2 linked regions of the Bombyx mori genome follow. The protein of the gene in region 2 purifies or fractionates together with the protein of the main gene of each other region. This does not show direct contact. Links are inferred from orthologs where the notes say so. Each region holds a gene or a part of one and is shown on either strand. Other genes may lie near its edges.

Evidence for each region. The genes of interacting proteins can lie anywhere in the genome.
Region 1: the proteins of Tm (region 2) and inhibitor of Bruton tyrosine kinase purify together in Homo sapiens (affinity purification with mass spectrometry; 3 studies listed by BioGRID and IntAct, with this or other methods). This does not show direct contact. The link is inferred for Bombyx mori from reciprocal best matches to the Homo sapiens genes POP7 and IBTK.

What each region holds. Positions count from the first base shown.
Region 1 is NC_085125.1:10,563,397-10,569,165, reverse strand, and holds part of inhibitor of Bruton tyrosine kinase, read right to left. Parts: intron 3,485-5,769; coding exon 3,350-3,484; intron 2,241-3,349; coding exon 1,943-2,240; intron 1,591-1,942; coding exon 1,468-1,590; intron 1,123-1,467; coding exon 846-1,122; intron 355-845; coding exon 156-354; intron 1-155. UniProt on the Homo sapiens protein: Acts as an inhibitor of BTK tyrosine kinase activity, thereby playing a role in B-cell development. Down-regulates BTK kinase activity, leading to interference with BTK-mediated calcium mobilization and NF-kappa-B-driven transcription.
Region 2 is NC_085114.1:11,854,511-11,859,695, reverse strand, and holds Tm (Tm protein), read right to left. Parts: upstream 3,023-5,185; 5' UTR 3,022-3,022; intron 2,951-3,021; 5' UTR 2,950-2,950; coding exon of another isoform or gene 2,781-2,949; intron 2,615-2,780; coding exon of another isoform or gene 2,502-2,614; 5' UTR 2,489-2,501; coding exon 2,081-2,488; 3' UTR 1,792-2,080; downstream 1-1,791. Other genes in the region: uncharacterized protein LOC101738502, read left to right, coding at 741-889; uncharacterized protein LOC101739983, read left to right, coding at 4,256-4,317, 4,444-4,571. UniProt on the Homo sapiens protein: Component of ribonuclease P, a ribonucleoprotein complex that generates mature tRNA molecules by cleaving their 5'-ends. Also a component of the MRP ribonuclease complex, which cleaves pre-rRNA sequences.

The DNA of each region.
Region 1 (5,769 bases), on a different chromosome or scaffold from region 2:
GGTACAAAGTTTTTGCTTCACGTATTAATATATAGATGATTTTTGTTTTATACGGCTTTCTCCAGGGGCTAACTTTAAACCATTTTTTTTTAATGAATGAATTACTTGGCAACGATTTATAATAAGTATTGAGTTTAAAAATATCGGATTCATACTAGAACTTATCAAGAAGTTTTTGTAGTCCCTTAACGTGGAGCCTTTTAGCCGCGGCCTGCACCATCCTTACGGGGTCACAGTACAAGTTTTGTCTGGTCGGAGTGTCAGTACTGCGGCGATTACGTGATTTCCTGGTCGATTTCTCGTTTTGTTTGCTGTAGACTTCGTACGCTGATATTTCGGACGAGTTCTCTGCAAGTTTTTACAGTAATAAATGTGTGATTTTGTCCAAGCATCAAGGTCTCAAAAAAAAAAAGTAGGTATGTTGGACAAATGCTGCATGATAAGAAACCGAAATTTCTTTTCTGAAGTGAAACTTCTTTAGGCGCGTTGAGAGTCAAATTTAACTCGCGACAGGTTCTTTAAGGCTAGAAGGAAAAGATACAATTTAGGAAGAGCGAGAGTGAAAATATAGAGCATCTCGCGTACCACTCGATCGTGTAGAGGGGAAGGACAAAGCGAGCTAGGTTGTTTCTCTTATACAAATAATTCCCTATTACAAGAGAAATTTGATTTAAGGATGAAAAATTAAGAAAACCACAATACCACACACCGCAAAAGAAGTTTCACTTCTTTCACGTGCACGAAGTTGCACGCGCACCATTATTTTTTTAAAGTCGCAGAATATATCCGAACCACATCTGTACAGTATCATTAGGTGTGACGTCATAATATAAAACTTAACTCACCGATAACATCTACTTCAATATCAATATCATCCAAATCTTTCTTTCCAATGACATCTTCCTTTTTAATCTTCAAACTGCAAGGGCCCAGTTCCGCAACATCGCATGTCCCTGTGTAAGTGTATTTTAATATTCTATCGAAAACGTCGGGATGGATATTGTTTAATGCAATTATTGGTTTCTCGTTGTTGTCCGTTAGGTTCTCTTGATACATTTTATATAAGTATTCACTGCTCGTTGCTATAATGTAGATGTGGGCGGGATACAGTTTCGTGCCTACCTGTAATAAATATTTATTTTGTTACTTTTATTGTATAACATTTTTAAAACAACTGATTGTTAATGCCGAATGTAAAAGAATCATAGTTGAAAACAAAGACTTTGCGGTGAGATTGTATCCTAAATTTGTTTTGATCGCTGTTTCGCTTCGAGTAGTTCCGTGTACTAACGGACTGCGTGCCATATCTACAACGCTTTTTAGTCTAGTGCTGTGTGTTTCCGCTATCTGACAATAGATGGCGTTGTACTTCTCGAGCGTTCGAGACACTACTAGGTCCTTCGATATTCGTTCGACTATTCGGCGATAGATGGCGTTACTCTTACCGGCGTAACAATAAAGACTTACTTTAAACAAAACGTCGTGCAGTAAGTCGTCTACAGCGGCAGTTTCGCGTAGAGACTCCATGTGCTTCGACAAACTCGTCGGGGATAGTTCCGGCACAGACCTCAAGCCGCATGTGGGTTTGATCTGAAATTAATCGAACCACAATGAATTTCACACACGATTTTTATTTCATCCCAATGGCTTTGAAACGACGGCCGTATTTTATACATATACAATTGAAAAGCATGATTAATGGGTTTCGGTTTGAAGGGTGGGGCAGACGTTGTAACTATACTTGAGACCTTAGAACTTATATCTCAAGGTGGGTGGTGACATTTACGTTGTAGATGTCTATGAACTCCGGTAACCACTTAACACCAGGTGGGCTGTAAGATCGTTCACACATTTATGCAATAAAAAAACAATTAAAAAAACTTGAAAGCAGCAAGGGAATGGACGGTACATGAGAGCAACTTAACTTTTATAAAAATATTACCTGTAGACAGGCAAAGTTTAATCCCTCGCCATCGACTGCAATAGAGACGGCACGATATATATTCGGTATTTTCATTATCCTGACAGAAGTACAGTCGCCTTTTTCTAAGAACTTCACAAGGGTGCTCTTGTTGTCTCTTTCCTTCTCTTTCCTGATTGGCTGAGATAGAGCTATGGGCGAGGTCTTACGCGATATGTAGCCGACGAACGCTTCGCCGTGCTTAGTCGTGAAATACAGAGCTTCGTGCGTGAGAACGGCTTGAGTTATGATGGTTTGATGCTGGAGACCAAATACGCATCTGGAAGAACATAACAAAATTGCTTTCAATTTAATATATATATATATTTTTCTACCTAACTAGATGACCTTTAGATGCTATGTCAGCGTAACCGGGCGAGTAGGTCAGCTCACGGGGTTCGAATCGGGAGTGTTGGTAGCACTAGCCCTAGCAAGAGCAGTGCTTCGTAGAATCTACTAGGGATCGGAAACGCGACCCACAGAGAAGATCCGGCGAGAAACTCGGTGGGCTGTGTCTGTGGGTTAATTCACTCGTCGAGCCCTTCGTCGCATGGGATGGGTTTGACGAGGACTGTGATCGGTGCTTGAGGTACCTAAAAGCACCGTTAGTGGATCGGGAGGATCCAAAATGACGTGTTTTGGGCGACGTCGACTGTTTACCATTTGGTCCGCAGGATCGGGTATGTAGTTTCCGGTGGCCACGGTGAGAGGAGTCTCGTGTCGTGCCGCTTTATCGAAATGGGTTGTAAGTAACGGGCTCTTTTTACCATCAAACTTAAGTACATAACTGAGTTAGTATTATTGGTCTGGCAGAAGAACATTATTTATGTGTCAGTAATAAGAGTAAATAACATAATAATATTTATTTGCAATTACTCGGTTAGCCTTCAATTAAAATTTTCATGAAACCAGATATCGTCAATAATATCGATGTATATTAGGGCATAGGGTATAGAGGTCCCGCAGTAGTCGAAATTCGACTATAATTAATTGGAATTGTCAGTTTGTACACTATTATGATTGTATTTTATGCTTCTATAATCACAAATTTCGCTAAGACTACACTATAAAAAATATTAACAAAAGACAAACAATATTTAATCTATTCTCAATTTGACAACAGACGCCAAGAACCAAAGTTTGACAATAAATAGTATGCATGAGTGTGTGCGTCAAATACATTGTATGTAGTGTGTGTAATGTTTTCTTTATTGATTTAATGTATCTTTTATGCATTATTTTAAAAAAATATTAGCATTGTGCACTTCTCTATATTCTCTATAAGTGTGGAAAATTTCATACTCCTCCGTCCGCGCAATTTTCGTAAAAAGGGATACAAAGTTTTTGCTTCACGTATTAATATATAGATAAAAAAAAACTGGGGCACACCTTGTGAGTTGGTTAGTGGTGTCTTGCCAGAGCAGTAATTGTCCGACGTTGGTCAGTAGCAGCACGGTGACTCGCGTGAAGCCGGTTTGGTTGCTCACCCGCGCTTCCACGCACACCTGACGCAGGTTTATTTGTCTGAAAATCATCTGATCTGATTATTATGAAAAGTAATATTATCTATTTTAATACGCTCTTATTAGCTTCAGACGTATACAATGTATGTTAGTATGTAACGGAATCTTTGAACATGATTTTGACTCCCTTCGGAACGTTGGATAACTCGAAATTTGGTATATTTATTAAGGACAGATGTCAATTAAATATATAAAAAAAAATTGAAAAAAATTTAAATGAAAAATAAATAATATTTCAATGGTATCATCATCATCATCATCAACAGCCCAAACGTCCACTGCTGGACATAGGCCTCTCCCAATCCACACCACTGGTATAATAGCCGGCAAACTTCTTGAGCATTTGTTGACGTAGTGGGGGTAAGTTTGCGCATGGTACACTCACGTGCAAAAACATTATTTACGCTGCGTCATAATGCAATTAAATTATTACAATCAACATATGTATTTATTTATATATTTATTAGAACATCAACAAAAAATATAGGTTAATAATTGTAATAATTTAATCTTGGGGTAAAATAGATATTCCTTCTATTAAGTCAAAACTAGAGCTGTTGCCAGGTCTTGGTTCAGTTGAAGCGAAGCTGGTATTTGTAATTTTTTTTTCGTTATCATAATCTTGACCATCATCATCATCACTGTTTTCATCACCCGAGTCGCCATCATCGTGATGAGTCGACATAGGGCTCATCGGTGTAGTTTACAACTCGGTCGTTCGATCTTCTTTTTGGTCTATAATTAATTATTTTTTTAAGATATTCGATTCGTAGTAATCGAATGTTACTTTTTTCAATTACCAGCTTCCGATTATTTTCTGTTTTTTTTTTCATCTGAAGCCTAGCTCTTTCATAATTCGTCGTAAACTTCATTCCGAGCCATTAAAATGTATATCTTCTTTAAATTTTTCGAAGCCTTTCTACGTTACGGAGTTTCGCTGCTTGTTATGTAGTTATTATGATTACATCTTTTTATTACAGATTGAACGAAACTATCCATTCCGGTAACTTTCTTCTTCCCTTTTTTTTTCCACAGGAGAAAATCGCCGGATCCCCACCCGCACGGCAGGTGGGGTATGTGGGAGTCGAACCTCACTAAAAACTCCTGCCGCTCACAGCCGGCGCCCTACCCCGGACCGGGTGGGAACCCAGTCGGAGTTATTGAGACGGCGGGACAGGGTTTACGCAGAGCACATTACATCCATCCCGCCGTCCCCCAGACGCCGGACCGGCGGCCGCCAGCAACATGACCGCCGGTTCCCTCGGTCGACGGGCCAAGAGCCCGATTGATAGCGCCGCGCTACACCTTCCCCCGGAGCGGTCGGGGGAACGCGACCTACCACGCCGCCCCACGCCTAAGCTCCTCCCCGCACAAAGCGGGTGGAGCCCGAAGCTCTTAGGGGGCCGGGTTACGGACGATACCCCGGTCCCGACCCCCTGCTCGGCGGCGGCGGGTTTCTGCGTAGTGAGGAGAGCTTTGCCTCACTCGCCCCGCCGCCTCCTTCTGCGAGATGGTGCACTCGCAGAAGTCGAGCATAGCCTTCCAGGACTCGTCACCGCCAAGCATCGACGACACGACGCCAGGCAGCGACAAGTCCGGTCCTATCTTTGCGACCAGGACACGGCGCTGCAAGATCTTTTCTTACCCGGTGTCCCAAACACGGCGAGCAAGCCAGAGCCTTTAGCTTCGTTAATAATGCACCTAACAGTACTCACTGATGTTTTTGTTGTTTCCGAAGTCTGTTTTACTTTTTCCATATCATTCTTCCCCTGTTTTATAATGAAGCAATATACGTCGTACACAATTTTTCTACCCTTTCTTTTGATTACTACACCAGTTTGTCGCGGCATAGTGTATTTTTTATAAAAAATCAACAAACACTCAACAAATAGCAATGGCAACAAAGTCAACAGGCAATTATAACAATTAACTTAACGATTAATAACGATAGATTTTTCACTGTACGCAAGCGTACTTTTGGGAGCGAGCGGAACGAGGGCGCGGTGCGGGGCGCAGGGTTCGACTGATCTACCAATAACGCGCTCGATACGATTTCCCCTGCCGTCGCGCCTCACCCTCACCACCAAAGTGATCTAAAATTCGGTTCTGCGCAGTCAAGGTCATTTGCTCAAGATGTTTGCCGGTTACTATACCAGTAGTTATAAATATTTTACGAACAGATATGAGTAGAAGGGTTATTTTGATAATATCCTGAAAAGCAACCCACGCTTTTTTACAATAATATGATTTTTTCTTACACTATTTTTAATTCAAATTTATTTTCTA
Region 2 (5,185 bases):
GCCAGAGATTCTCGAGTTTCTCCATCATTGTGTCCAGTTCCTCACAGTACACAACCGTAGTTAATACTGGTGCTATTTGATAAGAAGCGGTGATGAAATTGACCGGCAATATATTATCAAACAGTACCCATGATTATTTTAGGGGAAAGTTTTCGTTTGAGACATTCCTTATCCCGTTTGTGCGGCATTGCCACTGCGACGGAACTCTTATTCCATAATTACTCGTATTTTTATTGTGTCCATATTAATAACAAATATTAACACAATAAACAACTGACTGAATTTCAATATAGAACTTCATAACAGTATATTAAAAAATATATATTTGAATTTAGAATTTATTGTCATCCTTATATATCTAATTTAGGTTTCAAATGGCCAGTATTGTAAAAAGGCAACTTCATAGGTAAAAAGTACTAATTATTATGCGTGAAATCAGCAGTTTTAAGAGAAGGCTGCCAGGCAATGTGAAATAAACAAAACAAGTATTTATGTTTTACTTTTATAAGTTTCTAGCTGTATTTGTGTTTCCGCTTTGGAAGGACTGCAACTATCTGCCCTGTATCGTGTATTATTACGATAAGATCTGTTCTGGATTTGGTGATGAATAAGCAGAGCTAGTCTTTATTTGATTAAACTCTTTACTCTGTTAATAAAATGAAGTTCAAACATAATATTGTCGAATAGCGTTTGCGCATATGAACTGTCTTACTTTTTTTATAAATATGTTTAATTTCCAGGCCTCCGAAAAGCTGGACTTTCATTATTTGGGGAGTCTACAAAATCAAAGAATGATGCGAATACCGAAAATAATGGTGAAGGTTTCACTTTTAATTTTAGCGGAGAAGAAAAAAAGAGCAGGGGAGGCTTGTTTAGTATGTTCCATTAAAAATTATTTCTGTTAATATCTGTGCTGGATATAATTTATAAGTCAAAATAACTAAATAAATAAACATAATAAAATAATCTACAGTTTTTTAATATGTTTCACATTTAAATGCCCAATGCTTAGGATTTTCTTCTGCAGTATTACTGGTGTGAAAGTGTTCTATGGTCTCATGTTTTACAATTATATCAAAACTAAAGCATCTATACATTCATGAGAAAAGTGTTACAGCCTTTGCCTTTGCAAGAAAATCAAACTGATTACATTATTTTATGTACTTTTTATGTGAAGTTTGAAACAAGTTTTGTCCAATAGATCAATGATGTTAGATGTTTAAATCTTACTAGTCATTACTCTTGTTTTTTCGGGCCGAAGGCCAATCTCCCACGAGGTCCCCGCGCCTAGTTGGCGCGCGGGGTATGTGGGACTTGATCTGCAGGTCTTGGGAGCAGACCGCGGCTAAGGAATTTTATGGGCCCTACCGCACTAAGCGACCCCCTGCACTCTTACACCCGACGTCCGATCTCCGTCCGGAGTCAGAACCCGGTCAGACTAGGGGGGTTCCCGCGGTCAACACTACAACCAGACACGCGGCGCCACCCCCGAGGACGCCAGACCGACGGGCCGTCGAGGCGATTTTGAAGTCGTCCTGGCCTAAAGGATAAGACGTCTGGTGCATTCGTATGTAGCGATGTCTCGATGTTCGAAATTCGAATCCCGCAGGCGGGTACCAATTTTTCTATTGAAATACGTACTTAATAAGTTTACCTTGTGCAAATAGCACTTTATGGTACATAGGCAAAGACAGAAAGTATAATTATACAGCCTTTAATCTCAAACAGTCACATTATATAAAAAAATCATTAAAAGAATATGAGTCTTGAGGTTTTGAATAAAAAATAGTATTTAATTAGTTGTTTAAATTTTATTGCTATGTCATAAATGGCCAAAAAAATCAGAAACAAATGGATATGAATTTAAAATGTGTTTTGGTTTCAGGTGTAAACATTTTCAAAGTAACATAAGTAAATAGCTCTCTATTTGTATGTCTCAGTCAGATTATGCTACAAAGCTTATTTACAATAGCGTAGTTGTCAGTTTACTTGAAAAAAATGAAACATACAGATATAATTATGATTATAGTACAACAATATTTATGTCCATAAATATAAGAGCATCTTTTGGTTAAGAATGTTATTGATGTAATTGACATGCACGTACTGCTATCAATTGTAACAATATAAATAATGGTGCAAAAACTTCACTGTATTCTATAGCCGAATCACCTTGTAGTTTTCTACAAAGTAAAAATTTGAAAACAAATGTTAGCCCTAAAAATATTCCACTCCAAGATGCTCTATATAAAGAAGCTTTATAAGAATTTTCCAGATTCATTCTTATGCATACAATACAGCAAAAGTATGCATTCATCGCATCACTCACAAACAAAGGTGCAAATATTGTCCACCATGCACTATTCAATACACCATCAATTTTAAGAGCTAACAGTACAGAAAATATAGTGAGCGTTATAAGATTGATCCATATTTCAAATACAGTAAGTCCAATCCATTGCACAATCTCATTTAGTGTAAAAAACATTATCACCCTTTCACTAGTTTTGATTAGATCCGAGCATTGCTGTCCTAAATATTCTTATGTGGATGGATGATGAATGTCGTATTTGTGAGCCAAAATCTAGTTCATCAGTCAGTGGCTCTAGATCATCTGTAAAAGATTAATGGCATATAAGCAAAGATATGATAGATTTATTTTTCCGATGTATTTATTGTAAGTTAGATTTGACAAAACCATTCAAATGAATATAGTTACTGGAGTGGTATACTTAGTATTTGTTGCTCACTATATAACTTCAGGAAATTTGGTAACTCACCAACTAGGTCTACAGATCCAGTGTTTACTTCGATTTGACAGGTGCCTGAAAATAGAATTTCCAGCTGAAGTGCCAAATTACAGCATCTCTGTATTGCCGCGCCTAGACCATGAAGTATTATCTCCTTTTCTCCTCTTGTTAGTAAATCGCAACATTTATCTAGTTGTGCCTGTAAATTAAGAAATATTTAATATCAGTGCTTACATAGTATAATGGGATGTTTTGATGTTTTTCGGTTTTACTTTAAAGTTCGTCTTCTTCGTAATAAACAACACATTGTCTCCATTTACTGGCCTAGGTGGTAAACGCTTTTTAAGAGCATAATTCTTATTAGGATAGCGTTTTTGCTTTTTCTTCGTTTCTTCTTTCTTCTGTAGACTGTTAGGATCTGCCATCACATCTGCCATAATATTTATAACCTCTGAATATTGACAGGTGTCAAAACTGACATAATGCCAAATCAAACCGTTTAATAGAAAAGTCACTAGGTACCTACCAACATAGGTACCTAATTAAATAAACCTGAAAAATACAAAATTAACGAAATCAATTAATTTCCATAACTTTTGTCATCGCCACTTACGTGATTATTTGGATGATGTTACCTGAAGAATCTTTGGCGGGAATGAGAGGAGAGAGTTGTGTGAATTGTGTTATTTTGTTAATTAAGTGTTTCTTTAGGTTTAAATCTGTAATAACGGTGGCTTGTTAGCTGTTTCATTTAATTTCATTCCATTTGATTAGAGTTGCAAATTAGAACACTTCATCTCATTTCGCTTCATATCATTTTTCACATAACAGATTACGTACCTAAATTAAACGTACACAATTGAAGATTCCTATAAACTCGACATTGGCAACAATAATTTAACGCAGCCAACAAGCTAATATCATTTAATAATTGTAGTGCATTTTTTTTGCTTAGGTGGACGGACGAGCTCACTGCTCGTCTGGTGTTGAGTGGTTACTGGAGCTCATAGACATCAACAACACAAATGTCGCCATACATACCGACAAACGAGGATGTTTAGTAAAAATAATTAACAAAGCTGACTTGCTTAATTTTAATTTTGTAATCCAAAACAAACTCAACTTTTCATAAAATCGATAATTAATAATATAATATAATTATTTTAAACATTAATTTTAAATTAAGCTTTTATATAACTATCAAAATATAAATATAATAATTTATTAAATCGATGTATCGGATTATAGCAAGGTTGATGCTAAAGTTGATGCAAAAATAGGAAATTAGTGTTTTAAGCCTGTTGACTTGTGTCACCGATGCTGACAAACAACAAGCAATCATAATCAATACGTTTTCGTTGTTGGATGATAACAAAATCATGTTTGCAGAATTTTAAAAATTGTTGGCTTATTTATCTGAATATCAAATGGATTGACAAATGATTTCATGAAATGTAGTTGATTGTACTCCTAATCATTTAAAATTTTATGTTTAATGAATCAAAATGGGTTGTGTATGTTGCTCGTTAAGTTCTTTTGTATCCATAATTCTTGATGCCCTGGAAAGGTAATTTTTATGTCAAACTTGTTTTCATATAAAAATTCTAAATGACGATCAAGAATTTGTCAATGAGTACAGATTTTTTTTTTCTTGTTGATATACCTACATACATAAAACGACTTCTTTTATCAGAGTATCATTGTGGACAGTATGCGCAATGCTAACATGTTGTTTGATGCTGACCATTCTAACCGTCACCATCATGGGCATCGGGATAGGCTACCACTACTGTTTCGTTCAATCATCAGTGGATGCAATGGGTAAGAAAAAGCATTTCGTATTTGGTGTAGATGTATAAAAATGTGTAATGTTTTGTTGCTAGTGGTAGGGTCTTGTGAGCGCGAACGGGTAGGTGCCCTGCCATTTCTGAAGTGAAGCAGTAATACGTTCCGGTTTGAAGGGTGGGGTCGCCGTTGCACCATAGCACTAGGACTCAGAACTCATGTTTTCAGATGGTTGGCGGCGCTTATGTTGTTAATGTTAATGGCCTTTTTTATCGCGTTCCAACCCGGCGGGCTGGTTCTGACCCAGAGGGGAATCCCGGAACACCAGCGGCATCGCCCGGACGGGCCGCCGTACTGCAGAGACCGGCGTCATTGATCGTAGACGATCGCCTTGACGACCCGTCAGTCGGGCGTCCTCGGGGCGGTGCCGCGAGTCTGGTTGTATTGTTGACCTCGGGAACCCCTCTACTTTGCCCGGGTTCTGATCCCAGGCGGAGATCGGACATCGAGTGAAAACCCAACTCCCCTTGCACTCGAGAGAGTCATTTGGTGGGTAGGGTTCTAAAAACATCCTTGAGCTCGCGGTCCAATCTCACCATCTGTGGAAGGCGCGAAAACCTCATGTGAGAGGTTCGGCCCCCTGCCCGAAA